4 linked regions of the Danio rerio genome follow. The protein of the gene in region 1 purifies or fractionates together with the protein of each later gene. This does not show direct contact. Links are inferred from orthologs where the notes say so. Each region holds a gene or a part of one and is shown on either strand. Other genes may lie near its edges. The genes, in order: itsn1, ap2s1, eps15l1a and eps15.

Region 1 (7,692 bases):
GACATGGTGTGGGAGTGTCTATTTGACCAAGCGCTGAGTTTCAGAGTCAAAACACACACAAACACACGAAGGGGAGAAAGTGACTGTGTTTACATGGACATCTGTAATCGAATTATTTGCCAAATTATTAAATGGTGGACTTTAACTGCAGATTGGCTCTTTCATTCAGGGAATTCATTCGTGCCCCTTATGACAAACGAGATATTTGATTCGAGGAACTGCTGTTAGCGTATATTTTTTATGCAATGTTTGATACCGCACGGCAAATGAGAGAAAAAAATAAACTCTGCATTTCTCTGTAACTTAGATGAATCTCCATTTCCAGAAGACAAAAGCTCTCGGGTAAACAGTGTTCCTTAGACAGTTATTCACAAGTTATTCACTTAGACAGTTATAGACAAGTTATTGTTGTCGCGCGTCGCATACACTGTAATCCACGCGTGATTCCAGCTGCACTCTCACAGAGAGAAAATGAAAACAAAACTTCACTTCAGCAAATTAGGAAAGCAACACTTCACGCTTGTTTTGCCAACACAATGTGGCGCCTCTGCCGTGACGCCGTTTACACTGTAACATTAATGAATATTAATGAAGTTGCACAATAGAGCGCGCTGATTGGTTTGAACCAAGTCTTACTCATGCATTAATGCAGCACACTCAGAGACGTAATACGATACTTCCAGGTACAGTCGCCCAGTCTACACGCTGGAATACACGCTATGATCTCAGGGCCGTGACGCAGCTTCAAAAATTCGTTTCAAACCGGAAGTACGAATTTGCTCGAAATAATGCTAAAAGTACCAAATTTCACTTTTTAGTGAGATATAGGTGTCCTAATAGTGTTTTTAGGAGTTTGGGACACATACACGACTGTCAACAGCTCAAAAAATGTGTTTTGGTGTTCCGTGACCCTTTAAAGGTTTTAACAATAGATTTACATCCATCACACTTAAAAACTCATGGATTTGATCATAATATACTTAGCAGCCACAGATCTTTTCTTATAATGTCTGAAACGGTTAGTTCAAGGATCCCCTCATATTGCAAAGTGTAGACTTTTCTAGTTGGTTAGATGGTGTCATCTTATGTGATTGATTCACCACTTACGAGATATATCAGAAACCAAATGCCAATTACTATATCTGAATTTCAGCTTCAGATGGTTTCTTTTTGTCACATGAAAACACAGCGATGTGAACCATAACAATAGCATAAAAATTTTAAGTCCTCTCACTAGGGCTGGGCGATAAATCGATTTATCGATTAACTTAAGTGTGTAAGTTACACTGATTTGTTTGAATGAAAATTGGTTTTCGCTCTACATGCAACACTCTCCTCTGGGTTCCCGTAGTTCCCGCTGCATTTGCCATAAAAAACACTCACAAGCAAGATCTTGCGAAAACTCTGAGGAAAGTTGCACTCTGTGAAATGGAAAAGTACACCGACGCACAAACACACCCGCCTAAAAAGGCATAATTAAGGGCTCTCAGCTTGTGTCTCATTCGTCATGAGACACAAGCATTTTAACCTGCGCTCCACACCTGGTGTTTCTCACGATGAGAAGTAATAGACAATTAATAGACAAGACACGAATATGAAAGGAACTGTTAACGATCTAATGTTGGAGTTCAACATTGCTGTTTCTGGATAAATTACATGACCCAAAGAAAAAAACTCGCTCAATGCAGCGAATAATCCAGATGCAGCCGGCTGACGCAAATAAATGCAATAAAATGTAAGCCACTGGCCTAGCATGAGTAATTAATATAAAATGAATGAACCTCTATATGTATGTACATGTTGAAATAAACCGTATAAAAATAATGGGGAAATAAATCACCTTGAAAAAGGTCCCCTTTTAACAATCATTATGAGTTTACTTTCACTGTAATTTTATAAATGGTTTAATTGATATTATCATTATTATTATTATTATTATTATTATTATTATTATTATTATAAAAGTATTGAATACAATCTTGTTAAATTTGATCTTTTAATGACAGCTAGCAAGGTTCTTGAGGTAAAGGTTTTTTTTTCTCTTGCATTTTTCTATATTATATAATTATGATATGCTTAAGCTAATTATATAGGTTAATAACCTTAAACCTTTTTTTTGTAACCCTTAAAAAATTGTGTGTGAATAATAAAAAAAAAGCTATACATCATATACTATGCATGCATTTCTGCACATATGCAATGATAAAATTAACATTTTGACTCTGGATGGATATAAACCTGGTGTTGGAGACCTTTAAAACTAAATTAGCAAACATGTAGGTCACATTAAAGCTTCCTTTTGCAATTAATTTACCATTAGCAACAACAAGCAGATGTGTAATTTATTTGTGCAACTATATTGAGCTTAAAAGTTTGACATCTGTTGTGCTTTTTGCCTCTTCTCTAGAATAAGAAGTCACCGCCCTACCTTGCACTTTACTTTTGCAATTTGACCTTATCATGTTAACAACAAATTTAAAACCGCTACAATACATGCCACATGAAAGACAAAGTCATGGTCTGCAAATGTTTGATACGTTTTATTTCCACATGACTCTTTTGCAATTAGAGACACTTGATGTTTCCATTCACTTAATGTTTTTTTTGTGTGTGTGCGTAGGAGAATGCGCTCTGGTAGTGGAGTGTCTGTGACTAGCATGCACTCGACAGACTTGCGGTCTCAGGAAGAGCCAGAGGAGGAGGAGAAAGAGGCCGAGAAAAAACTTCCAGGTCAGGAAACATTGGTTAAAGTTCATGTGGTCTCAGATGACAAGTATACCCCAGAATTCAATTTGCACATTTTTTTATATGGATAGTCTTGATTATTTTTGCATTAATACCTTTCAGTGCAATGTGTTGTGAGATCTGATACCAGTTACCTATATAAATGGAGAACATCCACTGCCAACAGAGGCTGTGTTAACTGTACATTTTCCACCATTAACTTACTTTTAAAAATGTTTTTCGTCATTTAGGCTGATAAAATATCAGGTTCCTGGTTTACATTTACCTGCAGTACTTAAACAACATTATCATAGTACACAATACACTTGCACAATTACACAATTGCAAACTTACACACACAAAAAGATCTTAAAATAATAGTTTTAATAACTCATTTCTAACAATGGACTGATCTTTGCTATGATGACAGTACATACTATTTTACTAGATGTTTTTCAAGATACTAGTATTCAGTTTAAAGCACAATTTAAAGGCTTAAAGGTGCAGTAGGTGATCTTCCACAATGCTAACAGCTTAGCATAAATCTCTGAATCACAGTCCCTCCCCTGTCATTCAGAGCCACGCCTTCTGAAACACGAGCATGCGCACCTTAAAGATGACAGCAGAAGAACCCTCTCTCATGTGTTAAAAGCGACAAGTGCTTGACTGGTGGCATGCAGGAATTACACTCATTACTAAACCAAACTGACATGCTATTTCAGAGCGGATATTCAGAGTAGCATGGTAAACAATAGAAGGACAGCACCACAGGTTGTCATTGTTTAAAAATGAACCACTGGGATGTGAATATAAAACCATCTTCACCTCAGTAAAGCTGGCTAGGCGGAATAGCGCTATTTACTTGTGTTTTGTTGTTAATCTAAATAAAATCTACATTATAGATGATGTAAAAAGACCTTATGAAACTGAAAATAGTCACATCAATCTTTCATCGGAAGATTTTAGTGGCTGAACAAGACTTCTGTGCGGATATAACCCATTTGTAACAACAACATCAAACGTTACATCAGCTTTGCGTGAAGCTAAAATAGTTTTTAAACAGAACATTACCTGTCTTAGAGAAATACTTTAGCCATGGTGTCATCCTTTCTCCAGTGTGAAACGCTAACTCCAATATTGATTCAGGTTTTTATAAAGTTTTGATTCAGCATGTTTTTACAGTCTCTCTCTCCCTCTCTCTCTCTCTCTCTCTCTCTCTCAATTCAATTCAATTCAATTTAATAATTGCTTTATTGGCATGACAAATGTTACAAATGTATTGCCAAAGCAGTTATAAAGTTTACATAAAAAGTAACATATATATATATATATATATATATATATATATATATATATATATATATATATATATATATATATATATATATATATATATACAGTACACACAGTAAATAGTAGTAGTAAAAAAATATATTTATATATAATAATTAAATAAAATATCAACAATACATCATATTATTCAATATATCACATTAATATTCAATATATTATATTATTATTCAACATATCATATTATACAAATCAATACAAAAATAGATCAGAATAAACTGTACATTTAACAATCAACATTTTAGGATAAAACAGTAATAAAAACAATAATAATCAGTATATTTACAATGATTCATTTAAAATCACCTAGGTGTGTGTGTGTGTCTCTTTCTCTCTCTCTCTCTCTCTCTCTCTCTCATGAACGCGGAATGCACAAACAGCGGAGCTGCGTACAAACGGCGGAGCAGTTGTTCAAATCTGCATTTGCTGACAGTTTGGGCTACTTATCGGAATTATGGGAGATGCCAGCCCGACTCTATTTAATTGGATATTCATTTTTTAGTTTTATATCTTATTCAGAGTATAAAAATATGTATAAATACATTTAGATCATTTACTTTAATCAATACTATTGGGATGTGTAGAGACTTTCAACCAGCACAGCAAAAAGTGTTTCTAGAGACAATCACCTGCTGCACCTTTAACTAGTTATTAGGCAAGTTAGAGTAATTGGGCAAGTCATTTGTATAACGATGATTTGTTCTGTAGACATTTGAAAAAATATAAATTGCTTAACGGGGCTAATAATATTAAAAACTGCTTTTATTCCACCCAAAACATAAGACTTTTTCCAGTAGAAAAAAATATAGGAAATACTGTGAAAATGTCAAAAATTTATATATTAAAAAAAGAAAAAAAAATTCACAGGTGGGCGAATAATTCTGACTTGCACTGTACATGCACACTGATACCTGTTATTGTTTTCACAAATATGCATGCATAATTTAAAGGGGCTAAATGCTAATTAAATGGTCTTTTGCAGCATGAAATGTTGTACATCAATCTCCTAAAATTGTTTCCATAATTTCCCTTCAGTCACATTTGAGGATAAGAAACGAGAGAACTTTGAGCGCGGAAACCTGGAGTTGGAGAAACGTCGACAGGCACTTCTGGAGCAGCAGAGGAAAGAGCAGGAGCGACTGGCGGCGCTGGAGAAAGAAGAGCAGGAGCGGAAGGAGAGGGAACGACTGGAGCAGGAGAGACGCAGACAGCAGGAGCTGGACAAACAGCTGGAGAGACAGAGGGAGCTGGAGCGACAGCGGGAGGAGGAGAGACGCAAGGAGATCGAGAGAAGAGAGGTGCGTTCTCAAGTTCTCGGAAATCCATGAGTGAAAAGTAGGGCCTGACAGAATCTGCTGACATTTGTTGCTATTTCTGCTGAGAATTTTGTTAAAAATCTGTGGATTTATGCGGAAATGTTGTGGGAGTATCATAACTAAAAACTTAATATATGAAATAAAAATTAATAACTTTTATTTAATGTTTTTACAATGCAAATCGAATTAGATCCACTCAAACAAAGCAAATCTTTCATATAATAAATCGACTAAACGACAGAAAATATTACTTTACAAACTGTATTGTAAATAAATCAAATGAACATTTTCATATCAGTCAATAATATTACTGAAAATAGTTTAAAAACTGAATAAATATAAATTTACACAAGTAAATAAATAGACTCAGTGATGGGACAAAAATCCGTGGATTTCTGCGCTCACAGATTCCGTGTGGGCCTAGTGATAAGTAGTGCTGAACAATATATTGTGATAAGTATGGTTATCGCGATAATAGCATATGCAATGATTGTATCGCTGTTGTGTGTAGTTGAATTACATTTTATTTAATACATTGGTTGATTTTAGCTACAGTTAAAGTCAGAATTATTATCCCTTTAAAATTACTTTTAAATTTTTACCCAATTTATTTTCAACTGAGTTTTTTCAACACACTTCTGAGCATAATAGTTTTAATAACTCATTTCTAATAACCGATTTCTTTTATCTTTGCCATGATGACAATATGTGCTATTTTACTAGATATTTTTAAGATACTATTGACTATTGTTCAGCTCAAAGTGCAATTTGAAGACTTAATTAGGTTAATTAGGCAAGGTATTGTATAATGATGGTTTGTTCTGTAGACTATCGAAAAATTCATCTGCTTAAGAGGACTAATAATATTGACCTTAAAATGTTTTTTGATTTTATTGTAAAATAAGTTTTTTAGGGAAATATCATTTAATATTGTTTTTATATTGTAAGAAATACTATTATGTTGGCGCCAGTGGTGTAGTGGTTAGTACAACGGCACATGCACTCGCGGCGACCCGAGTTCGATTCCGCCTCGCAGTCCTATGCCGATATTTCCCCTCTCTCTCTGCTTCCCATTGCTTTCCTGTCAATTCTCTCTACTTTCCTATCCAATAAAGGTGAAAACCCCGAAAAAATTACTATTAAAAAAAAAAAAAAAAAATGCTATTATATCATGCAATATTCAACAACATAGTCGCACATTTTCCCAGTGCCTTGAAGCCAGAGTGTTCAGCACTATTGACACTATCATTAACCCTTGTGTTATTTTGTGTGTGCTCTCACCATGATGCATATTTTATTTGAATGTGGACATTTAAGTACTGTTAGACAAAAACACTTTATTTTATGTTTTTAAAAGGAATCACCAGGATGAATTTGAAGTTATTTATCAAATATTAAATTGAGAAAAATCATGTTTGACTTTGTATTAATGTGAGCCATCTCTTAATGAATTATGAAGTTGTTCTATCATGTAGTGTTTTTATGCAAATTGATCTTGCCATGAAATAGCCATAAGTTGCTTATGTGGCAATAAATAAATAAATGATTTTGTGTGTTTGAAGGCTGCTAAACGGGAGCTGGAGCGACAGAGGCAGCTGGAGTGGGAGAGGACGCGCAGACAGGAGCTGCTCACCCAAAGGAACAGAGAACAGGAGAACATCGTCCTGCTCAAAGCACGGAAGAAAACTCTCGAGTTTGAGCTGGAGGCTCTGGCATGTGCACTTTCATCTCTCAGAAAAATAATTGTCTAAACTACTTACTTAGAATGAGCCGAAACAACACAATTCTTGAGATATTTTTTGGAGACAACTTACTTTTTTATGTTCTATCCACTTAAACTTGTCAAAACCAATGAACTTAATTTATTTGTGTTGGGACATCGTGAATGACTTGTTTTTGACCCTGCATTTTTACAGTGGTGGTTAACACTTTTAAATACGTAGGGTATAAACAATTAATTTTGCTTGATCAAATAACATGCTTAAAATCATCTGAAATAACACAATTCTCAAGTTTTTTGGGGAGCAACTTAATTGTTTTCTGTTCAGTTCACTTAAAGTAAAAAAAAACGAACAAATTTTAGGTTGTTTTAACACCAATTGATTGCATTTTTACAGTATGTAGAACAAATTTAAAGTGCCATATATATATATATATATATATATATATATATATATATATATATATATATATATATATATATATATATATATATACACAGTAAAGTCAGAATTATTAGTCCCCCTAAATTATTAGCCCCCTGTTTATTTTCAACACATCTCTAATCATAATAGTTTTATTA
Region 2 (7,692 bases), on another chromosome or scaffold:
ACCAAGCTACCACAGCTGGCTCAGCGGAAGCGCACTTGTCATTAGACATCCACAAGTAAAGTACACTACATTTAATATAAAAAAATCAAAAAAAAGTCTAAACGATACAGTTTAAAAAGGGGTTTTAAAACCATAAAGCAGCCTCTGGCAGAGAAGTGAATAACTCATCACATTCTTACGAAGATATTTTATTTATTGAAGTTATTATTTTATTGACTTGAATACAGTTAACCATGTATAACATAATTACTAACCCGTCATCTAAAAATCTTAGAAATAATAAAATAGCCTATTGTTTTATTCGTGGCTAGAGCCTGATTGATTTGATTGACATCCTAGGCAATAAGACCTTTAATTCGCCAGACTGAGTGTGTGTTTATTGCACGCAGTGCTGCATTTGGTAGCACAAAACTCGCTCTGATCCAGAGAGAACTTTACCAACGACTACATGCACTAGGCTACTAAAACACTTTTTTTTTCCTGCTGCATATCGAATAAAGTAAATTAAGACATGCTTAACATCATGTTAATTTAACACCAGCGTGTTGTAATGTCAGCCGTCCAAAAGTCCACGGTAGAAAGTCAACTCCTTCTCTAAATTTTTTTTGGACTTTGCTTGAAAGCTTTACGAAGTGGCTCTGAAGCTGTCCAAGGTACTGTTGGATGATAGAACAAACTAGTCAAATGAATCAATCAATTAAATAAATATAGATTCTTAAATGTCAGTATTGCTTTTACTCAAAAAATATCAGTAGGTTTTGACAACTGTTTTATAAAAATAAAATGAGCAACTTTCATCATTTTAGCTTTAGGCAATTATATGATTCAGTTATACATAAGTTGGACATTTATGGGGGCATGTAACATGTTTCTATGTTATTGTTTTTTGTTCTTGGTGATCTTACAGGTAGCTATACGCAAATATTTTCTAAAACGCCAAAAAAGAATTTGCCTACAGCTTGTTAGTTAATTATGAAGGCAAAAATAATTAAAATAACAAAAATAAAATGATAAAAATACAAAGATAAAAGAGCAGCATTTTGCTAAACAGAATAGTCCTTTATATGCTTTATATCCTGATATATTGTGTTGTTTCATATTCGTATTTTATTCCACTTGCTGCATTCGTTATTTAATGTTTGAATACTGAAACAAATAGCAGCCATCGCTTAAAGGTTTACATTTTACCATCAAAATGTAGTATATTTTATATCATTATCATCTTTTGATATAAAACTGCTGTGTAATTTAATTGATTGTTAAAAATGAAATAATTTAAGTGCTATATTTTTTATTAGTGAAAGTGCCCGCTCACTTTTGACAAGGTCTGTCCAAAAATATACTTTGCCACTATAATACAAATGCACTATTATTGTTGCATTATCGTTGTTTAATTTTCTGTTATGTTCAGAGATTTGATATATATTATTCATCTCCCCTCCAATCATCACGTTACATTTTGGTCATTTTCCCCCCAAATAAGATTTAACCAGAGCCGCCGCGCAACATATAGGGCCAGACGAAATCCTTTTTTTTATATTTCTGCTGAGAATTTTGGTAAAAATCTGCAGATTTCTGCAGAATTATTTTGGGAATATTACAACTAAAACATTAAAATGTGAAATAATATATAATATCTTTTAAACTTTTAATGATTAAAATGCAAATTCAATTAGATCCACTTTATTTGGTAAACGAAGCAAGTCTCTCATGTAATATATCTACTAAAAGGTATATTATATATATGTACATAAATCAGATGAACATTTCCATATTAGTCAATAATATTACTATAATTAATTTAAAAACTAAATAAACTTAGATTTACCCAAGTAAATAAACAGAATTATTGATGGGCTAAAAATCTTCGGAAATCAGCGAAATTCTGTGGAAAATCTGAGGAATTCTGCGCACGCAGACTCTGTGTGTGCCTACATATGACCTCTAAATAAATAAGGGTGCTGTGACATGTGCCTATATTTAGCACCCCTATTTGATTAAGCGACATAACAGTGCTCAGTTATCCAGTTGCTTTCGATTTTATGAACATCAAAAAAGTAGTTTATTTAAATTTAATTCAACGAAGGAGCCGTTTACATTGTATTACCAAGGTAACTACTAATAGGTTTGTGTAATTTTTCAAAGAGCTTTGTTGCAGCATGACAGTGGAAAATGAAACCGTATCCGTGCTGTCTGGCCCGGTTTGGCACGGAATGGAACGGTTCTGCATAAAGAACGATTCAGCACAATAGTGGAACAATGGGCTTTTAATTTGAAATAACCTAATGATCAATTAATTCTTGGCTAGAAATTGCAACAGCCCTGTGAAAGGAGGAAAGTTTTTGTTAAAAAGTTTGGAAAAACCTGAAGAGTTTATTAAAGCCAAAAGAGGCCATGGCAAAAGTGAAGATCCAGGTACAAGTTTGCAGAATATGCTTTTCCACCATTCATAGGTTTTACACTGACGTATATATTATAATTTTGAACTGAAAACAATTTAATAGTTACAAAACTATAATTAAGGAACAAATTATTTCTTTGATAACTGGGAAGGAATATTTGAACCTATCGGTTACAGCATACTGATGGCCTGTTTTTTCTAGGCTTTATTGATGACAATGGTCAGGGATGTTGGACCATTGTTGCCTGTTTAGTATAAGTACAGGACAGAAACTAGACAGACAATAATGTGTGAACTGTGGTGTGGGCTAAATCTAAAGAAAAACATCTGTATTTTTTAGTAAGTGTACTTTTTTTCATTTAATCCTGACATAATAAAAATATATATTTGTATAGCAACCCATGTTCTGTTGTCATTAATATTTTAATAAACTTTAATAGGTAAAACTGCCGAAGATATGAACAAAAGCAAGTGATGCATCAAAGTTTGATTAAAAAAAATCTTGAATGGTTATAAAAATCCTTATAATCATTTAAATAACTTATAAAAATCCTAAAAATAATTTAAAAAGTTGTATTATATTAACGATATGATGTCATTCTGGAAACTTTCCACTTCTCTGTTTATCAATCTGTCTTACTGGTGGGTTTCTTTTCGGCGCCACCCTGTCGTTTTAAAGAGTATCACAACAGCGAACACGGCAAGTATAAAAGCCTTATCCATTTTGTGAGATGCACACACAGTCATCAAAAGTGCGCCAGGCAAAAGTATAAAACCAGCTTTACACTTCACATATGTTGCATGCATGTGTGAAGACCTGTCCAATCACCTCTTAGTAAGTAAATATAGAGTTTCTCAACATTCAGCATGGCAAGTGATGGAGATAAACGGCAAAAGTGCAGGTGAGACAAAAAAACATGACAGCCATTAGTGTTTCAGCAGACACTCAATGTAAATTCAGACAGTCACCCAAATAACAAATGCCAATTTTCTTGCAAAAAACTTAGATGGCCTAAATAGCCAAAAATGTAAAAAATTTTAAATTTTAAAAAGGTTTATTGTTCTTTGAATTTGTCTGCAGCCATCATTTGTAAACTTTGCACATACCATAACGAAACAGTCAACCAAAAACCATGATAAACCATTGCAACCAACGTAGTTAACTGTAATGGACTCACACACTGACCTAAGAAATAAAGGTAAAGTTGGTATTATATTCGCACATCGGGACTTTCACCTTCTTAATATAATTTCAGAAAAGTATCTTTTGCAAATTCTAAATAAGGTAATCATATGAGCAGTCAAACTCCATCAAACAGGATTCTATGACTTTCCAGTACTTTCAAGTACATTTTCATGGCGTAATGTTTCATGTAATGTCAACATGTACATGGGAAATAATAAGAAAAACAAGGATGTTAAAATTTATTAAAGCACATCATAGAACACGCAACCATCTATTTTGTTTACATTTGTTTTCATATTGATAGATTGTGAGAGCAAGTTTTTGGCCAAGGATAGTAAAGAAGTAAAGACAACTAACCTAAATTCAAGTTACGGCAGCAAAATGTATCAATTCAGCATCGATATCGCAATTTGTGCATCCACTATAGTCACATGGCAGGATATGCAATGTTGCAATGATTAAAGTTTAATATAGAGTTTAAACATAATGGAGTAAAAGTTCAGCATCAGTACGTCAGCATGCATTTTTAAAGAGATGGTTCACCCAAAAATTACTTCCCATTTATATTACACCGATCACTTGTTTCAAACATTTATGCGTTTTCTTTTTTTTCTTTTTTTTTTTTATGAACACAAAAAGAATCCAATTTAATAACTCCTATAGTATTGAAACAAGTGAAGTGCGAGTAAATAGTGAGTACATTTTAATCTTTGAGTAAACTATCCCTTTAAGGCCTGTGACTGAAATGTTTTGTAACTATTTTGTAAATAAAGTTTAAATAATATACAATGAAGACCTGAAACCTATAATTCACCTATATCTTCACTATATTTTATTTATCTATGCTTGTAATTTATTTGTTATTTATTAGTCGAGATTCACTCCCCTACAAAATTCCCCCAATCAATCCAAATAAACCTGTTAAATCATCAAGTGAAATTGTATTCACATCGCAATGTACATCACAGAAATACAAAATATGGTAATGTCAGATTTTTCCAATATCGTGCAGGTATACAGGTAATTGGTAAACACATTTTCATGACATTTCCAAAACCTTGTGGGTTTTTCCATTTTTTCAAAACTTTTCCAGGACTTGAAAATGTCATGTCAAAATTCCATCACTTTTCCAGGTTTTCCATGACCGTATGAACCCTGATCAAAGTATATTATTGTTCACAGTTAATTAAATAGAGATAATGATGCTTTGAAGTCATACTTTGCAAGCGGTTTTGGGGAAGGGTGTCACAAATTGTCAATGTTATGTGAATATAAAACTAACTTTAACCCAAGACCTGAGAAAAATGTTAAAAGCGAGTGTTGTACCTCAACAAAGTTGGTGTGTTTGGCATCACGGACTGTCACTACAGCATGCACCTCTTCAATTAGCTTCTGCTTCTCATCGTCATCAAACTGCATGTACCACTTGGCCAGTCTGGTCTTCCCAGCCCGATTCTGGATGAGGATAAAGCGGATCTGGAAATAAACAGTAAAATAATAAAAATTTTGTAAATCAGTCAGTAAAGCATAAAACATAAACCTTATTGGGGTAAAGTTGGTTTTATATTGGCAAATATTCAAAGTTTTTCCTTGATAATATAATTTCAGTAAAGTATTCTTTGCAAATTCTAAATAAGCGAACCATATTAGCAGCCAATGGCTATCAAAGTACAACATCGTTCACAGTCTATTAAATAATGGCTTATGTTTCTCAGCAAAGATGCAATGTAGAACCTCTTTAATCCAGTGTTCTGATGATGGAGGGGACATAAGTTTCCATTTGAGGAGAATTGCGTGCCTGGCGAACAAGGAGGTAAAGGCAATGACATGGCGTGTTGATGTTTGTGCAGTTGGGGTTGGAAGATAAACTGAGACATTGTTTTAAAGGATCACTGAACTTTAACAAAACATGAAGTCCTATACTGTCTGTCATTGAGAACCTTAACATTTCAGGACCTGCTGACTAGAATTTCAAAAGGGAGACTTTTAGTGTTTACTTCATATTTTCTTCTTCTATATTTACCCATTTATATATATATGATTTTAGACTTTGGTTGAACGACTTTACTCTGAGAAATAATCTCGGTTACACGGTTATCACGATTATTTTGCATTTTTTCATTCATTCATTTCGGCTTAGCCCCTTTATTAATCCGAAGTCGCCACAGTGGAATGAACCACAAAATTATCCAGCATATGCTCTACACAGCGTATCCCCTTCAAGCCGCAACCCATCTCTGAAAAATATTATGCATTTATTTATTTTAAAACACTACTAGCTTAAAAAATCACCTGGAAACTCCTCATATTAAAGTTTTGTTTATTTCTGCTTGGTAATAATAATAATATATAAGCAAATTATTAATAAAAACAAACAATAGTCCTTTCTCTTTGGACTTAAAATGAAGTTTAAAAAGTATTTTTTGCATTCAGTTAAGATGAACACAGTTTCTATAGTTATACTTTATTTATAGATAAAGGTATATGGCTCTGTATATAATCACTCTATCTTGCTGGAGTTTATAGCCGTTTCGCTTTACTTCAGGACACATTATTGCCGCTCTGAAGGTCTAATCACTGTTTTAAGTTATCCAGAGCTGTATGAATGTACAAATCTTGAATATCATAATATTATTAAATATTAAAATTTTATCAACATATACAGCAACACTTTTGCACAATCGATACCCAGCTGATTCAGTCGTTTCATAAGAGGACCGCGCTTCTTCTCTTCTTTTTTCCTTGTCAACATAAGGGCAGTGAGGTGCACCTCGCGTTTTTGGAATGAAAAAACCACGTTAGCTGTGGTCGGCCACTTGTTCAACTGCAAGACATACTTAACTTGCGGGACGACAACGTATAACCCGTGCCTACAGACACATTTGCCAAAGAAGCTAAATGGAAGAAGAAAATTGCTTGAAACAGACGTGTTGATGCCAAAAAAAGCACTGATGTTGACCTGGATCTGCGTCATAAACGCAACAAATAGGCTTTACCTTTTATTTTAAAGCTTATAAAGCATGTATGAACATTAATGCAATATCATATTTAAACAACAAAACTGTTTACAAAAAGTCAACATTTGCGCGCGTTGTTGTTGTCTTTTCATCACGCAGCGCTCGCACTTGAGCCGCGATGAAGAGAAAGGAAACCATAGCAAGACATAATCTTTAAAATAATGATTTGTATTAAAAATGTAAAAGGTTTTGTGATTATAATAATACAAGCGGGGCATTAAATAAATGCATATTTTTCGTGGAGCGAGTGATTTGAGGAAGTCTGCTATTTTATTTGACGGAAGACAAAAATATGATTGGAAAAAACAGCCTATATGCCGGTTATTAAAAATAATCAGTCAGTGTTTTCGATTTGTAATATAAATTAATTATTTAAGTGGAAAATTATTTAGGGCAGTCCTATTTATTTCATTCATTTTATTTAGTTTATTCTGTTCTTCTGTGCTAAACACTGCAGGTGTGTGAAGATGCTCTGTTGTTCTGTTCTGTTATTAATATGCTAGCATTTAAAAATAAATCAGTATTTTATGCAATATTTAATGTGTCAGACACAAAATAGACACGTCAATTTGTTTAATATAAAATTAATAGTATCTGACCAGTTAACCGTTAATAACCGATTAATGAGCGGCGGTTGTCGGTTAGCAAAATTAACAGAAATGAGCATCCCTAGTAATAACGAATTTGTGCATGCAAAGACACAATATGTGAACGGCCCTTTTCTAAGCCTCAGCCACAGTGTACAAGCTCGAAACTTCAAACTTGTGCAGAGTTGGAGTAACTTTGTTTACTTGCAGAAGTTTTGTACTATTCAGAATTGCGGTGTTGAGAAGCCTTTACGTTTAATTAATCATGATGAATTAAACCGCGGTTAATAGTGAAATCGGTTAATCGTTGCATCCCTAATATATATACATGTATATATATATATATATATATATATATATATATATATATATATATATATATATATATATATATATATATATATATATTTTTTTTTTATAATTATTTTTTAATTGGTTTATTATTTATGTATCTGTCTTGATTCATCTACTTATTAAAGGCCTCAGAAAATATGGGTGTGA
Region 3 (7,692 bases), on another chromosome or scaffold:
CTGTTGTTCTACCTTTACAAAAGCGGTAGGGTATGATTTGCTATTTTGGTACTTCTGATAGAAAATACGCATGCACTGTACACTATTAAAAATGAAGATAAATAACTAAGTTGTCCCAAAAAAAATTAAGAATTGTGTTGTTTCAACTCCATACTCCATACTGCTCAGTGGAAACAGCCCATTAGATTCTTGCCTTAAATGATTAAAAATATATTTGAAAAAATATTTATATTTATTTTTTAAAAATCATTCAATGTTAAAAACATGACAATAATTCTAATTGTATGAATCAAAATGTGCATCAATATATACACCAAACATTTATTGAGTGATACAATATGATAATATGAGTGTTTAATAATAACATATCAATATGGCTGAAATACCAGTCTATCATCATTCAGGTATATTTAGAAAATATGAAACCAACCGATTACCGGCTGCACATATAAAACAAGCATATAAAAGAACAACTGATCACAAGAATTGTGTTATAGTCTAAATTACTAAAACTTATTGTTAGGTAAAAAATTGTGAAAGTGTAAAACTTTTAAAATGACAATTATTTTCTTGTTAAACTGACATTAAAATTGAAAGTAAATTAAATTGAAATTAATGTCAAATATTTTCAGCCTTTTCTATATCCTGATAAAAAAATGTTTTGCTCCAAAAGAAAAACATAATTTAAGATGACAGATTCGAATGGACAATTTTTTGCATTTTAAACTGACTTTGAGTTGCATACTGCACTCAGTATGTTGACATGATAGTATGTATTACGCTATAAAGATTTTAACATTGAAAAACGAATTACTCACCACTGCAAACTCATCTCTGTCCAAGTGTCCGTCTTTGTCTATGTCACTCAAATCCCACACCTGATCAAACAGACAGATTTAATAATCTCATTATTATAAAATATTATTCCAATAAATTCAGAAAAACATCCCAATTAAATACAAACTATTATTTTAAAAAATAAAAAAATTATAATAATTAGTACAAATTAATAATAATAATTTATAAAATTTGTTATCATTATAAATAGTTTAGGGTTATGGGTTCATTCAATTTATTTTATTTTTTTTTTTTTTACCTTTCCGAGAACATCTACAGGTAGTTTGGAGTTAATCAGTACTGGTTTGACCTTCTCACCAGACAGTAATCCGTTCACCGGGGCAAGACTTTCAAAAATACCATCAAATTTGCTCTTCTCTTCAGGCTGAAAAATAAACAAAGAGATTAAGAACAAAAAAAAATATTACAAAATCTTTTATAATACTAAATCACAAAGACAAGCAAAGTTAAATTACCCGCACAGCCCAGTGACTCTCATTAGTAGATGTTACTGAACTCAGTGATGGACTACTGTGATCCTTCTGGAATAAAAAGTGTACAAAGAAAATGTCTGTGAGCTCATACCAATCATATACAAAAATATCAACTATATATAATGAGACTTACGAATTTTGGTGGAGGAACAGGGAGATTTAAACTGGAAATGCTGATGTCGTGGCCGCTCTGTGCACATGCCACGAGACGCAAAGCAACGTAAAATCCCTAACAAACAAACCATAACAGATCAAGTCAGCATCCAATTTCATTCATTTATTAATTTTCTTTTCGGCTTAGGCGCTTTATTAATCCGGGGTCACCACAGTGGAAGGAACCCCCAACTTATTCAACATGTTTTACGCAGCGATTGCCCTTCCAGCTGCAACCCATCACTGGGAAACACCCACACACTCTCGCATTCACACTCATACACTACGGACAATTTAGCTTACCCAATTCATCTATACCGCATGTCTTTTGACTGTGGGGGAAACCGGAGCACCCGGAGGAAACCCACGCCAACACAAGGACAACATGCAAACTCCACACAGAAATGCCAACTGACCCGGCCAAGGCTCGAACCAGCAACCTTCTTGTGAGGTGACAGCACTACCCACTGCACCACCGCGCCACCAGCATCCAATTTACAATTGCTAAATTCCATATAAATGTAAACATTTTTTACTATTATGCTACATAATGCATAGCTTTTGTTGATAACTATAGCTAGCGAAAGATTCATGTTAACTGAATAAAAATCTGAAATAAATTATATTAAAATATTACATTAAAAACTTTAGTTTTTACCAAATAAATATGAACATGATAATCTCAATTTGAACTTGACAATCTTATTTCTCAACAGTAGTCATGACAAAATCGCCAAACAACGTTGTTGTAACAAACGTGAACAACTGTACAGACCCCTCGCCCAAAAAACCACCAGGCTATAAAGCTTGACAATTGGCTTTTCTGTATGGAAGTCGGGACTTCTTATTGACCGTTTCCACTTTATCAAGCTTGCGTTTCCACTGCCAAAAGGATATCCTTTTGGTGTGCGAGGTGTATGACAGAGTTTCAGACGACGTCATTTTTACTTAAGGAAATGTCACAGTAAAGCCATACGGGTCGTTCATAGGATCATATGAGAAGCACTTCTCACAAAACTGATGCTTTATACACATAAATACTTGTCTATAAATGTTCATTAACACCCTTTCTATGAACATGATTAGATTATAACTCCAGATCAATGACAGAGCGAAATAGCCAACAGTAACGTCTGCAGTTATATAAAATAAATGAATAAATGCAACATATATAAACCCATGCAGACCATTACAGTCTCCGATTTGTTATTAATTACCGAAAACTACACACAGCATACATTTAGGCCTTATTTGGGTTCAAAAACAACAGGCAACATATAGCCCACAGACAGTGCAAACCTCTCATTTGTGTCTGTAATATTCAGCAGCACATGTAACCTCTGTTAGAGAGTAATTCCGTCATTCCGAGTGCATAATAGTCTGAAAGGTGATGATCATAGTTAAACATGGCAGTTTGTTAATGTTTTAGGTTGCTGAAAGCATCATTTGCTGTTGTTTTTCTGGCTTCTCCTTTGTTTTTTCGCGCTTAACTCTTGCGCTTGTCTCGTTCTGACAGGATCGGATATCACAGCTCTTCAATGATCAAATGTACGTTATTAATAATACTAATTTGAACTATTTATCTATTTTTAATTTCTATTAATTAATTTAGTTTTTTAAAATTCATTTACTTATTTTATTTATTATTATTATCATATTTCTGCTCATTTATTTAATTGTTTTTATTTTTTCTCTTTTGCATTGTTAAAATGGGCATTATCTGTTGGTTTGTTTTAATGTGTTTGTAACTAATAGTAAATATATTAATAAAAAATAACAAAACAAAACACATAAATAACACAAATAATGCAGTATATGTCCTCCTTTTTTTCTGATGTGTCATGCATATAACTGTTTAACATTCAATTTAATCAGCTACAACAGCTTTACCTGTTTGTCCAAGAAACCTTTGCCATCTGGATCAGCTAAATCCCAGATCTGAGAGGAGACGAGAAGGTAACTGGGGATTATAATTATCCAGAATTAAGATTTAATCGTTTTACCAAAACACCAACCTTTCCTAATGTGATGTCAGGCAGACCAGATTTCTTCAAGAACAAGGCAGCCTCTGTTGGTCCAACCCTACCGGTGTTTCCTGGGTCGACCTTTATTTACAAGCACATTAAAGAGAATGAAATAAGCTCAATATTGATTCAGTATGAAGGTATTGTTAAAATGCAGTCAAATGAGATGCAACATAAATGTCCTTACCTGTCTGTAAAAGTTCTCATATACAGGGTTTCCGCTTGACAGCTAAGAAACAGAGGAAAACGGGAGAAGCTTTAGGATTAAATCCATTTAAATAGAATATGCTGATAATATGTCGGATTGAGATATATGTTTTTAGTATTATGTAATATAATGTAGTGTTTTTGTTAACTAAAGCTTCTAAACATGCTTTTTGTTAGTTGACATTTTTTATTTGTACAGTTGAAGTTAAAATTATTAGCCCCCCTGTTTATTTTTTCCCCACATTTCTGTTTAACAGAGAGATTTTTAGAGATATTTTCAACACATTTCTAAACATAATAATTTTAATAACCCATTTCTAATAACCGATTTATTTTATCTTTGACATGATGACAGTAAATATTATTTGACTAAATGTATTTTTATTATTAAAAACTGCTTTTACTCGAGCCAAAATAAAACAAATAAGACTTTTTCCAGAAGCAAAAATATTATCAGACATACTGTGAACATTTCTTTGCTCTGTTAAAAATCATTTGAAAAATATTTTTAAAAAAGAAAAAAAAATTTAAAGGCGGGCTAATAATTCTGACTTTAACTGTAATTAAAAATTAAATATAAATATTACATTAAAAAACTAAAACAACAAATAAATAAATAAATAAATGTTGCAGTATTAAAGGGTTTTTGTTTTTTCCTGTAAATGATTCAATAAATACAGTACCGTGACATTCATACCGAGGTATTACCATACCGTGAAATTCTGATACCGTTACATCCCTACAAATAACCCAAAACCAAACCTGCATTCTGATAGTATAGTAACCCTATTAGGTCAGGTGCATCCCAAATCACACACTTATGCACTATTCTATGGCATTTTGTAGTATAAATAGTGCAAGAAGTGCATTCACATTGAAAACTCTAAAAATCATAAGTGCACTTTAATTATCCGGATGATGCACTTATTCAACCGGTAATATGAAGTGTGGAATGATGGACACTTCACGCACTTAACAACCGCAGCTTTGCCCACATAATGGAAAGGGGGAGGTTTCGGTGCTTATGTCAATTTAATATTCTTCCTTAGTAGTTGGAGTTACAATGTAACAAGGACACCTTAAAATAGAGTAACCAAAAATGAAAATGGAAAATTACGCCATGGCATTATCAGAAAAAACATTTAAAAAGTAGTCACAAAAAGTACATAACTATTATCAAAACCTAAACTGCAACAAAAAAGAAAAATCAATGAAAAATTAAAAGTAGTAATAGCAACAAATAGGTACATGAGTAATCCTAAAATAACAGATATACACATTTATACACATCTTTGTAAATTTTTAGATACATTTACATACAGTGAGATTACTGATGCTGGTAATAACTGACCCATGTTGATGTTAGTTTTTTTCTTTGTGTATTTATTTTTCTCACCCTCTCCGCTTCTTACTCAACCCTTGTTGTGTCGGTTCCACCAATCTCCGGACAAGCCGCAAGCATTTAAAGCCTCAACAGACCAGTATGTGGTGTGCGTTCTGCCTCGGAATACCTTTTGTGCTCCACACAATTTGTTTTTGACATGCTTAATCTGTTTAGTGATTCATTATCTCAGTTTACTGTAGTAATTCGAGTTTGCTTGTTGAACTTCGTTGGCTTTGAGTAAAATAATGTACTGGTTGTTGTGCGATTCTAAACTGAGTCTTTAACCGTCTTGTTAGGTTTGTTTTAGTTTAGATGGATTTTTGTAAGATTAGTTTGAGTGTTTTCCACCAGTGTAATTTTGAGTTTTGTAGTTTATTTAGTTTAGTTCGGGTGTCGTGTACAAGATCTCAGTTTTTATTTTCATTACTTCTTTTTTGACGCCTAGTACTTTAGATTTAAGGAGAATTGTTTTGTTTTGTTCATTTCTTTGATTTGGCTTACACTCGTTGTTTTTGTTTAAAGAGAATAATTGAAAATGTTTGATACTTTTTTCATTTATTATTGTTACACATTGTTTAAACTATTGAGTAAAAAAAAGCTTAAATACTGAATTGATTCCTGCCTCATCCTTCATCTGTCGCACACATTACACCTGTCTCACCTAAATGTTACAGCATCCCACTTAAACATCTTAAACTCATAACAACACCCATTTTAATACAACGCACCACATATCTGCATAATACCATTATTCAACAAAAGTCATCAACCTGTATTACTGTTCTATCCACATATTCCAATATAATGAAGATTTGTGTATGTAAATCACCTTGACAGTTAGTTTTAGTGTAAATGATGTTCAGATAATATTGCGGCTAGCTTGTTATTACATTAGTATAACTGTTTTTTACTGTATTTCCCATTCATATAAACAGATATAAACTTTAAATGTTCTTGCAGCTGAATGTTTATCGCAAATTTCATTGATAACATAGATGTTATGTGGGTATTTTTTGCTGAAGTGAGATACAAAGCGAACTAATCAGTTAGCAATCTAAATCCGATTAACAAGACCCGTAACATTTGCACTGTAAATATCGGTAAAACAGCCCGGTTTGAATGCTGTTAAGTGTGTAAGTGCATAAGAACATAGTGCATAAGTGCATAGTGTATAGTGTGTCATTTGGGACGTAGCTAAAGCAAGTACATGTCATTAATTAATATTCCTCCTCAGTAGTTGGAGTTACAATGTAACAAGGACACGTTAAAATAGTGTAACCAAACATGAAAATGTGAAATTAAGTCATTACAACATCAGAAATAACATTTAAGAAGTAGTCACAAAAAATACATAATTACTATCAAAACTTAAACTGCAATAAAAAAGGAATGACAATTAAAGTAGTAATAGCAACAATTCAGTACATGAGTAATACTAAAATAACAGATATACGCATACATCTTTGTAAATATATGAGCAATTCCATGCAAATGTCAACCTTGCCAAGAAAAAATTTAAGTTTTCAAATAGAGAAAACGTTCCTACATTTTTTGTGTAGGATTGTATTTTAAAGTACTATAAAAATGCTCAAAAATGTCTCTGCGAATGTTTTCAAACATTTATATTTGATTTACCAAAAGCACACAAGTGGCAATTTCACATCTGTCACATCCATAATAACAGAGCTTTTCCCTGATAAATGCAGAAATGTCAAATAAATAAAATAAATTATGTTTGTTCTATAGTGAGATCTTTTTAGATCCTTTTGATTAGTATAATTTATTTTGGGTTGTGCAGTTTATTTCACAGAATTTCTACAAAGTTTGTTGTATACTGTAAACTCTATACTGTAAAATTTTTGTCACATCTATAACGCATGTTCATTTTCCTCATTTGAAATATAAAAAATGTTTACAGATTGATATTTGCCATAACTCTGTGGTCAGTTGTTTTAAAAATATAAAAACAGTTGTTTCAATATATTGTTAACATCTACTTTCTCTGTGAATTTATGTGTTGAGTTTTTACTCCAAATGTCACAAGCATAACGCTGGAATTGCTCATATACATAAATGTACATATTGTATGCATATTTCACTTCACTTAACGTTACAGAGTAATCCGTTACAAATCAAAAGTAACGTTACAGTGAGATTACTGATGCTCGTAATAACTGACCCATCACCGCTATGCTAAACTAGCGGTTCAACACCCATTTTTATACATCACACCACAAATCTACATAATAACACTATTCAGCAGATTTCATCAACTTTTATTACTCAAATGTTATTACTGTACTGTAGTCAGATTACGTTACAATTATGATTTGTGTATGTAAATCGCATTGACAGTTAGTTTTAGTGTAAATGATGTTCGGATAATATTGCGGCTAGCTTGTTATTACAATAGTATAACTCCTTTTTACTGTATTTCCCATTCATATAAACGGCCGTAAACTTAATATGTTCCTGCAGTTGAATGTTTATAGCAAATTTCATTGATAACGACGTTGTTATGTGCGGATTTTGTAGCAGACAAGAGATACAAAGCGAGCTAATCGGTTAGCAATCTGAGCCCGATTAACGAGGC
Region 4 (7,692 bases), on another chromosome or scaffold:
TGTTATATTGAGGCATGTCATTCATTACAACAAAAACGCTTTCTATTTTGTTTTGTGAAATGTCATTAACACAATGAATTTTTTTGGTCTTGAGACGTCATTCATTTAAAGAAGGACATGCATCAGCAGTAATTTGTTTTATTTTGAGACATATCATTCATTAAGCCAATGATTTATTTTATTTTATTTTGATACTCGTCATTAGTTCAGTTCAATTCATCTTTATTTCTATAACACTTTTACAGTGTAGATTGTATCAAAGCAGCTTAACATAGAAGTTCTAGTACATTGAAACTGCCTCAGTTTATTTTCAGAGTTGACATTCGTTAAGACAGTAGCGCTTTTATTTTATTTTGAGACATGTAATTCATTAAGACAAGGAAACTTAATTTATTATTATTTCATTTCGAGACATGTCATTCTTTAGGAATAGCATTTTTATTATAAGACATGTCATTAAGAGTGAATTTTATTTTATTTTAAGACGTCATTCATTTAAAGAATGATTAGTTTTGATTTAAGACATCTCATTCATTAAGACTTTTATTTATTTATTTTATTTTGAGACCTGTCATTCATTAATACGTCAGCAGTATTATATTGAGACATGTCATACATTCAACAAAGACGCTTAATTTATTTTAATTTTATTTTGAGAAATGTTATTTGTTAAGGCAGGGGTGTCCAAAGTCAGCCTTGGCCGGCCAGTGTCCTGCTGACTTTATCTCCAACTTTCTTCAACACACCTGCCTGGAAGTTTCTAGTATACCTAATAAGAGCTTGATTAGCTTATTCAGGTGTGTATGATTAGGGTTGGAGCTAAACTCTCCAGGACACTGGCCCTCCAGGACCGAGTGTGAACACCCCTGTGTTAAGGCAATGAATTTTATTCTTATTTTGAGATGTTATACATTGAAAGAATGACCTGCATCAGCTGTATTTTTTTTATTTGAGACATGTCAATTATTAAGACAATATTTTATTTTATTTTTCATTTTTATTTTTTTATTATTTATTTATTTATTATTATTATTTTTTTTTTGGAGACCTGTCATTCATTAGGACAATGACACACATACGCACTAATGTTAAAATACATTGACAGATGGATACCTAATGAGCCGGAAAAACAATGGCATGTGTGTGTGTGTAAGCTTACAGGAAGGGAAAACAGTCAGATATATGTGTGTATGGATATTAGATGGCATATTGACAGCACAGCTGGTCTCGCTCTCCAGGGTTCTCCTTTCCTGTCATCAAACAAGGCCACTTATCCTGCTGATTTGCTGTTTTTTTTCCACATCTGAAAATGTGCCTGTGACACCTGTGATCTCTTGCATGTGCAAAAAGCCTATTTAAAATGGATCTCGCTCTTGAATTTCTTTAGTCTTTTTGAAGTTCAATTGATGTGCATTTTAAGTTTCAAATGTTGTGTCAAAAGTAGTCCTGATTAATGATCTCACCTATGCAACAGTGCAAAATAAAGAAAATTAAAAATCTATATTTTAAGCTGTTACAGGCAAAGGGCCTCTTACTAATTTTAAATGCGATCAATATTTGTTTAGACTCCTAATAGATTAGCCTTGAAACATGCAGGGCTTGTAGGGAGCTCGTAACGTTAAATAATTCAATAAGAGTGTGCCGAGTTTTAGCTGGTGCCGCTGCTGTGTTTAAAGCCGGGATGATGAATAGATTCTATTTCGGGGTCTGTCGGCTTCCAGCGCCGCTTCTGATTGGAGAAGGAGACGCTTGTGCTTTAGACTTGTGAATTTTTCCGTCTTCACCCTGAGCAGTTACTCAGTTCTGCTGCTGAAGACCTGGTATTTTTAGCCACACTCAGTCAGAGTCTCACACTGCTGTAATGGTACCTTCAGGTGAGAAGGAAATTACATCTTTTGGATTTCCATTGTTTTTTCTAGAAAATGCATTACTGAAGCTACTCCGTTCAACAGTTTATTGACCATATGATCTGTTAGAAACAGAAAACACACCATTTGTTGATATATTTTGTATGTATAGTTGTTAAATTATGTATATTATTTATATACATTCTGATATATAAAATAATATAAACAAAAACACATTTTTTATATCCAATTGCCAGTGTTTTAATAATCAGATTCCTCAAGAAATGTGTAATTTTCCCTTTGAAAATTCAGCTTCATCACTAGAATAAAGTAACAATACTATAATATAATATAATAATATATTGATAACATAATTGATACATAATTGATATTGATAACATACTATAATATAATACTATAAAATAATACTGTTGTTTGTTTGCAAATTTATGTGTGGACCCTGTTCACCAAACAGTGATGCGTTTGACTTTGCATTATTTTATCTTTGCATCAGCTTACTGCTTATGCGAGGTGTTTTGAATGCAGCATAAATGGGCGGGATGGTAAATTTGACGTTGTTTTTCTTTTGGCTGCTGTTTCCCTGTCTCAATCAAATTGTTTATTATTTGATCAAAAAGGATACAAAAAATGTTGTGAAACTCTCCTATTCGCTAGGCTTTAAGTTTGCCCAACTGTGGCAACTTCTGTTTCAGGTATAATCCATAAATGTAAAAAATGTCTATCAGTTTCTATTCAGTTTTTTTCTATTAACTGATATTTAAATAACTACTGTTATAGCCACAACAAAAGCCAAGTATTGAACTTATTAGCTCTTGTAAATTAAAAATTTAAATGGGTTATGTAATTTTTAATAAGAGAAGTAAGGTGGTATATTTTCTTGTCTTACCGCCACAAAAAAACTGTTTAAATGTAAAAATTTTATATTAATTTTATTCTATATTTCTTTCTTTCTTTTGTTCTTTCTTTTTTTCAACTTAATAGTAACTGAAAGCTCTTAAAATGCATAAATGTATTAGAATTTTTCAGTTGTATGTAATCATTTGAACAGAGGGAGAGGATGGATGGATAGATAAATGAATAGACGGATAGATGAATAAACAGACGGACATATAGATAGATAGATAGATAGATAGATAGATAGATAGATAGATAGATAGATAGATAGATAGATAGATAGATAGATAGATAGATAGATAGATAGATAGATAGATAGATAGATAGATAGATAGATAGATAGATAGATAGATAGATAGATAGATAGATAGATAGATGGATGGATGGATGGATGGATGGATAGACGGACGGACGGACGGACGGACGGACAGACAGACAGATAGATAGATAGATTTTTTTTATGAATTCGTTTTTTTCTTTTTGTTCTTTTATTGTTGTTCAAACCATTCCGAATGAACCAGTTGCAAACAACAAAGAAATTGTTTTGTTGCCAAACTATTCAGACGTCGCCTTCGATAAAGTGGGCGATTCTTGGCCAGAATAAGCTGCAGTGTGGTCTTAGACTCCATATCCCTGTTACAGATGGCATCTTCAGGCTTCACAGTCCTCCTACATGTCTACACTTTCCCTACGCATTCCGTCATGTGCTGCCGGGAAATATTCAGCTCTGAGTTCCGCATTTTAGTAGTTTCGGCACAAGGTCGCACTGAGGCTGTGAACACAAATCATAAAACACATAAATGCAGTGTACTGTGGTCTCATTAATGTCACAAACAAAAAATGAAATCAGTCACTGGATAAGGTCATAGCTGATGCTCAATACTCTGAAGCCTACATGAGGTTGAACATTACACTTTCCATTAAGAAGGAAGTGTACCTGCACTATTTTTTTTTAAATAATTTAATTATTTTGTATTTTTAATTGTATTTTATTTAATTTATTTTATGATTTTATTTTAAATACTTTATTTTTAATTATTTTATTTTTAAGTAATTTTATTTTAATAATATATTTATTATTTTGAAAAAAAATCTTTTTAAATGTATTTTATTTTAAATACTTTATTTTTTTATTATTTCATTTTTAATTTATTTTTTTATTTAAATATATTTTATTTTAAATACCTTATTTTTTCCTAATTTATTTCGTTTAATCATTTTAATTTTTAATTACATTTTTTCTTAAATGTATTTTATTTTAAATACTTTGTTTTAATTTTTTTATTTCATTTAAATTTTTTTGAATTTTTAAATGTGTTTTATTTTAAACACTTTATTCTTAATTATTTTAATTTATTTTTAACTATTTAATTTCATTTTTAAAGGTATTTGTTATTTTTAAATGTATTTTATTTAAAATAATTTATTTAATATTTTTTGTTGTAAATTTCTTTATGTATTATTTAAATACTTTATTTTTATTAATTTTATTTTTTTATTATTTCATTTCATTTTAAATTTATTTTTAATTGATGTTTTATTTTAAATTTTTAAATTTTTATTTTTTTAAATATTTTTTACATCTATTTTATTTAAATTATTTTATTTTAATTACTTTATTTTTAATTGTTTTATTTTATATATTTTTATTATTTTGTTTTTAAATGTTAGGTCTGTGTTCTTTCAGTTTGAGCAAGGATTAGAATTAATTTGTTCATTGCGTAAATTTATTTTTCACTTCTGTGTTTAACATCTTGGTAAGTTCTTCCATCTGAATTGGTTTCTTCTGTTAAATGCAATAAAAGATTTTTTGAAGAATTGGTGCTACCAATTGCCTTTTTTTCTACTGTAGAAGTCAATCAGTACCAGCATTCCTCAAAATATTTTTTTTTGTGAAACTCATGAAGGTTTAAAATCCCACGAGTTTTGTTTAACTATTCCTTTAAGCTGTTGTGCATATAATTCCTTTCTGTCTCTATTCTGTTTTGTTTACTTGGCCTTTTGGTGTGTCTTTTGTAATAGGTTTAAACACTTTTACCATCTCAATATCTTTCCTCCTAGTGCGTTTTATATTCACTTTAGGAGCAGCATTATCTCTCTGCAGTGTTGTCAGTGTGATGAACTCCTGTTTATTATTAGATCAATGAAGATATGTTGATTGTCCTCTAAGAACGAAGCATCTCTTTCCCTCAGGACCTGCAGGAGGAGGTTCAGAAGGGCTCAGATGAGCTGGGCCGCCTGCAGGCCGAGCGGCAGGAAGTGCAGGAGAAGCTAGAGAGGCTGGATGAGCAGAAACGCTCGCTAGAGGAGCAGCTCACGCTTATTCAACAGCAATGCAGCCAGGAGAGCCAACTGGTAAGAGAGAGACAACAATATCAAGCCTGTGTATGAAAGATACTGACCTGAAAATTTAGAAAGCACTTAGCCAAAGACCAGGGTTCATATGGTCATGGGAAACCTGGAAAAGTTGTGGAATTTTGACATGACATGTTTTGGAAAAGTGATGAAAATTAGTTTAATGAATATCTGTATGCTTGAATATTGGTTAGTTGTCTTTACTTTTCTGTCCCTGGCCAAAAACATGTTCTCACTTTATTAGTGTTGTGTAAGCATTATCTAAATAAGTATTACATTGATATAAAAATAAATGTAAACTAATGCCATTTACCACATATACTTAGACTTTACATGAAACATTAGGTCCTGGTCTTAAGTGTCCTGGAAAAGTCCTGGAATTTTAGTCGTAAAAATGTGTTTCAACCCTAAAAGCCAAAAAGGACTTCTTGTAAATTAGTTGTTGCTGTAATATTTTGTGTTAATATTAAACTGTTTATTACATTAAATTGTATATTGTAATTTATGTAATAATTAATTCAAACTAATTTGCTGATTGTTTCACAACAAATTGGACAAAATTATTTAGAGCAAACTTTATATATGGAACCTGTTTACAAGGCGGTGATGCTTTTACTCGTCATCAGCATCTTTATTCCTTCAAAGATTTTAATACGTTAATTTTTTTAAATGTATTTTTAATAAAATGCATTTACATTTATAAAGCTATAATTTGTATTATATAATCCGTGGATCAGATTACCACTTATGCTGGGTGTTTGTAATGCAGCGTCAATGGGCAGGACAGTAAATTAAACATAGTGTTTTTTTCCTGATTGCCATTACCAATCTCACACAATTTTTCTTTTTTATTGTTGGGAAAATTGTTAAAACACCATTGTGGATTTTTATGATTATTATTATTATTATTATTATTATTTAATCAAATAGAAATACAAAAAATTGTGGTACTTTCCCATTCATTGTGCTCTAAGTTTGCCCAGCTGTGACAATTTTCGCTTCTGAGATACCCGGAAATATAAAAAAGGGTTTCTAAATAACTAATAGTTTTAAATAACTACTATTTTAAGTAGTTATTTATATAACTACTATATTAAGATGTATAAGCAATAATGCCTATCCGAGTAGCTGGTAAGCTGGGGTCACTTGGAGTTCCAAATATACCTATTAAGAAACAGGGCAATAATGTCTCCCCTAGGGCCTCATTGATGGATTTAAAAATCAATGTCCAATAATTTTTTAAAGAAGGGCAAGACCAAAGCATAAGTGTCAAATCAGCTGGAGAAAACAAACATCTATCACAAGACGCATCTAATCCAGGTTACATTCCTGCCAACCGTGCCTTGCTTAAATGTAACACTTTAACACTTTATAAGCCCGAACCTAACAGAGGATGATGATGCATGAACATTTCTGAGTGCCTCCTCCAAAAAAAGTCTCTGATAATTTTAAGTTCGTCTTTCCATCTAGATTTAATTTTATCCACATTATATTCTTTCAGAGATATGAGTTTAGCGTATAATGTGGAGATCAATCCTTTATTAAAAAAATTAAGAGTAAGATTATAGAGTTATTAAAACTATTAAAACCGGTTTTCATCTTCACTGGCAAAAATATGACATAAAATCATAATAACAAATGTTTTTGTGTTACTTTACTTAATTTAACAAGTTAATCAGGTCTCAACTAAATTTGTTTAGCATACAAAACGTAATTAATGTAATGTCATTAGTCAATCTGACCAATTTAAGTTGAGATGACTAGAAAAGTAAGGGCATTCGCCACATAAAGCATATGCCAGAGTAATTGGTGGTTCATTCCGTAGTGGCAACACCTAATAAATTAAGGGCTAAGCTGAAGGAGAGTGACTAGAAATGTTCAATTGATTCAACTAAAGATTTAAGTGTATGTAGGCATTGCAATGCGCACTTTTGCATGCTGTTTTGAATGCGTTTTAGACTTTCTGATCCTAATCTCCCATGCAGTTTTGCATTACATTTTCATATGTAAATTTGTATACCAAAGGAAAAAAAAGAGTACTATTTCACTTTTGTTTCACAATTTTCACTCGAATGGATAAAAATGAGCACTCAATGTAGTTCACTGAGTATACTGATCTCAGATCTGCTTTCTGCTTTTTCCCCACTTGTCTGTGTTTGTGTGCGTGTTCAGATCCAGTCGTTGCAGGTGCAGCACTCTGAGCAGGAGCAGAGAATCAGTGACTATGAGGAGGAGTTGACCAGAGCCAGAGAAGAGCTGCTCCATCTGCAGGAGGAGACGCGTCAGCTGGGAGAGAAGGTTCAGTCTGCTCGAGCTCAACTCTGCCCTCTAGAGGATGCCGTCAAAGAATCCCACACGCAGATTGTTCAGGTTTGTCAGCTTTTGATCCGTTTCTTAGTTTTCGGTATTTGTTAACAGTAGCGGTTCTAGTTTAAATGGCACCCTGGGCGAACCTCCAGTTTTTAACTGGAAAACAATTTAGACACAACTGGAGTGATATACCAAGATAACTTAACGGTAAACTCTTTTAAAGGTAACTCTTTTGCATTTTTGTTGTCATTTTTTTTATTTGTGT

Evidence for each region.
Region 2: the proteins of itsn1 (region 1) and ap2s1 purify together in Homo sapiens (co-immunoprecipitation; 3 studies listed by BioGRID and IntAct, counting the BioPlex papers as one, with this or other methods). This does not show direct contact. The link is inferred for Danio rerio from reciprocal best matches to the Homo sapiens genes ITSN1 and AP2S1.
Region 3: the proteins of itsn1 (region 1) and eps15l1a purify together in Homo sapiens (affinity purification with mass spectrometry; 4 studies listed by BioGRID and IntAct, with this or other methods). This does not show direct contact. The link is inferred for Danio rerio from reciprocal best matches to the Homo sapiens genes ITSN1 and EPS15L1.
Region 4: the proteins of itsn1 (region 1) and eps15 purify together in Homo sapiens (co-immunoprecipitation; 3 studies listed by BioGRID and IntAct, with this or other methods). This does not show direct contact. The link is inferred for Danio rerio from reciprocal best matches to the Homo sapiens genes ITSN1 and EPS15.

Annotation. Positions count from the first base shown.
Region 1 is NC_133176.1:50,353,802-50,361,493, reverse strand, and holds part of itsn1 (intersectin-1), read left to right. Parts: intron 1-2,620; coding exon 2,621-2,730; intron 2,731-5,109; coding exon 5,110-5,372; intron 5,373-6,952; coding exon 6,953-7,102; intron 7,103-7,692. UniProt on the Homo sapiens protein: Adapter protein that provides a link between the endocytic membrane traffic and the actin assembly machinery. Acts as a guanine nucleotide exchange factor (GEF) for CDC42, and thereby stimulates actin nucleation mediated by WASL and the ARP2/3 complex.
Region 2 is NC_133190.1:9,939,233-9,946,924, reverse strand, and holds part of ap2s1 (AP-2 complex subunit sigma), read right to left. Parts: intron 5,064-7,692; coding exon 4,914-5,063; intron 1-4,913. UniProt on the Homo sapiens protein: Component of the adaptor protein complex 2 (AP-2). Adaptor protein complexes function in protein transport via transport vesicles in different membrane traffic pathways.
Region 3 is NC_133197.1:15,669,486-15,677,177, forward strand, and holds part of eps15l1a (epidermal growth factor receptor substrate 15-like 1), read right to left. Parts: intron 3,738-7,692; coding exon 3,696-3,737; intron 3,590-3,695; coding exon 3,500-3,589; intron 3,423-3,499; coding exon 3,375-3,422; intron 1,561-3,374; coding exon 1,465-1,560; intron 1,380-1,464; coding exon 1,314-1,379; intron 1,223-1,313; coding exon 1,097-1,222; intron 879-1,096; coding exon 819-878; intron 1-818.
Region 4 is NC_133183.1:18,309,734-18,317,425, reverse strand, and holds part of eps15 (epidermal growth factor receptor substrate 15), read left to right. Parts: intron 1-4,955; coding exon 4,956-5,117; intron 5,118-7,289; coding exon 7,290-7,487; intron 7,488-7,692. UniProt on the Homo sapiens protein: Involved in cell growth regulation. May be involved in the regulation of mitogenic signals and control of cell proliferation. Involved in the internalization of ligand-inducible receptors of the receptor tyrosine kinase (RTK) type, in particular EGFR.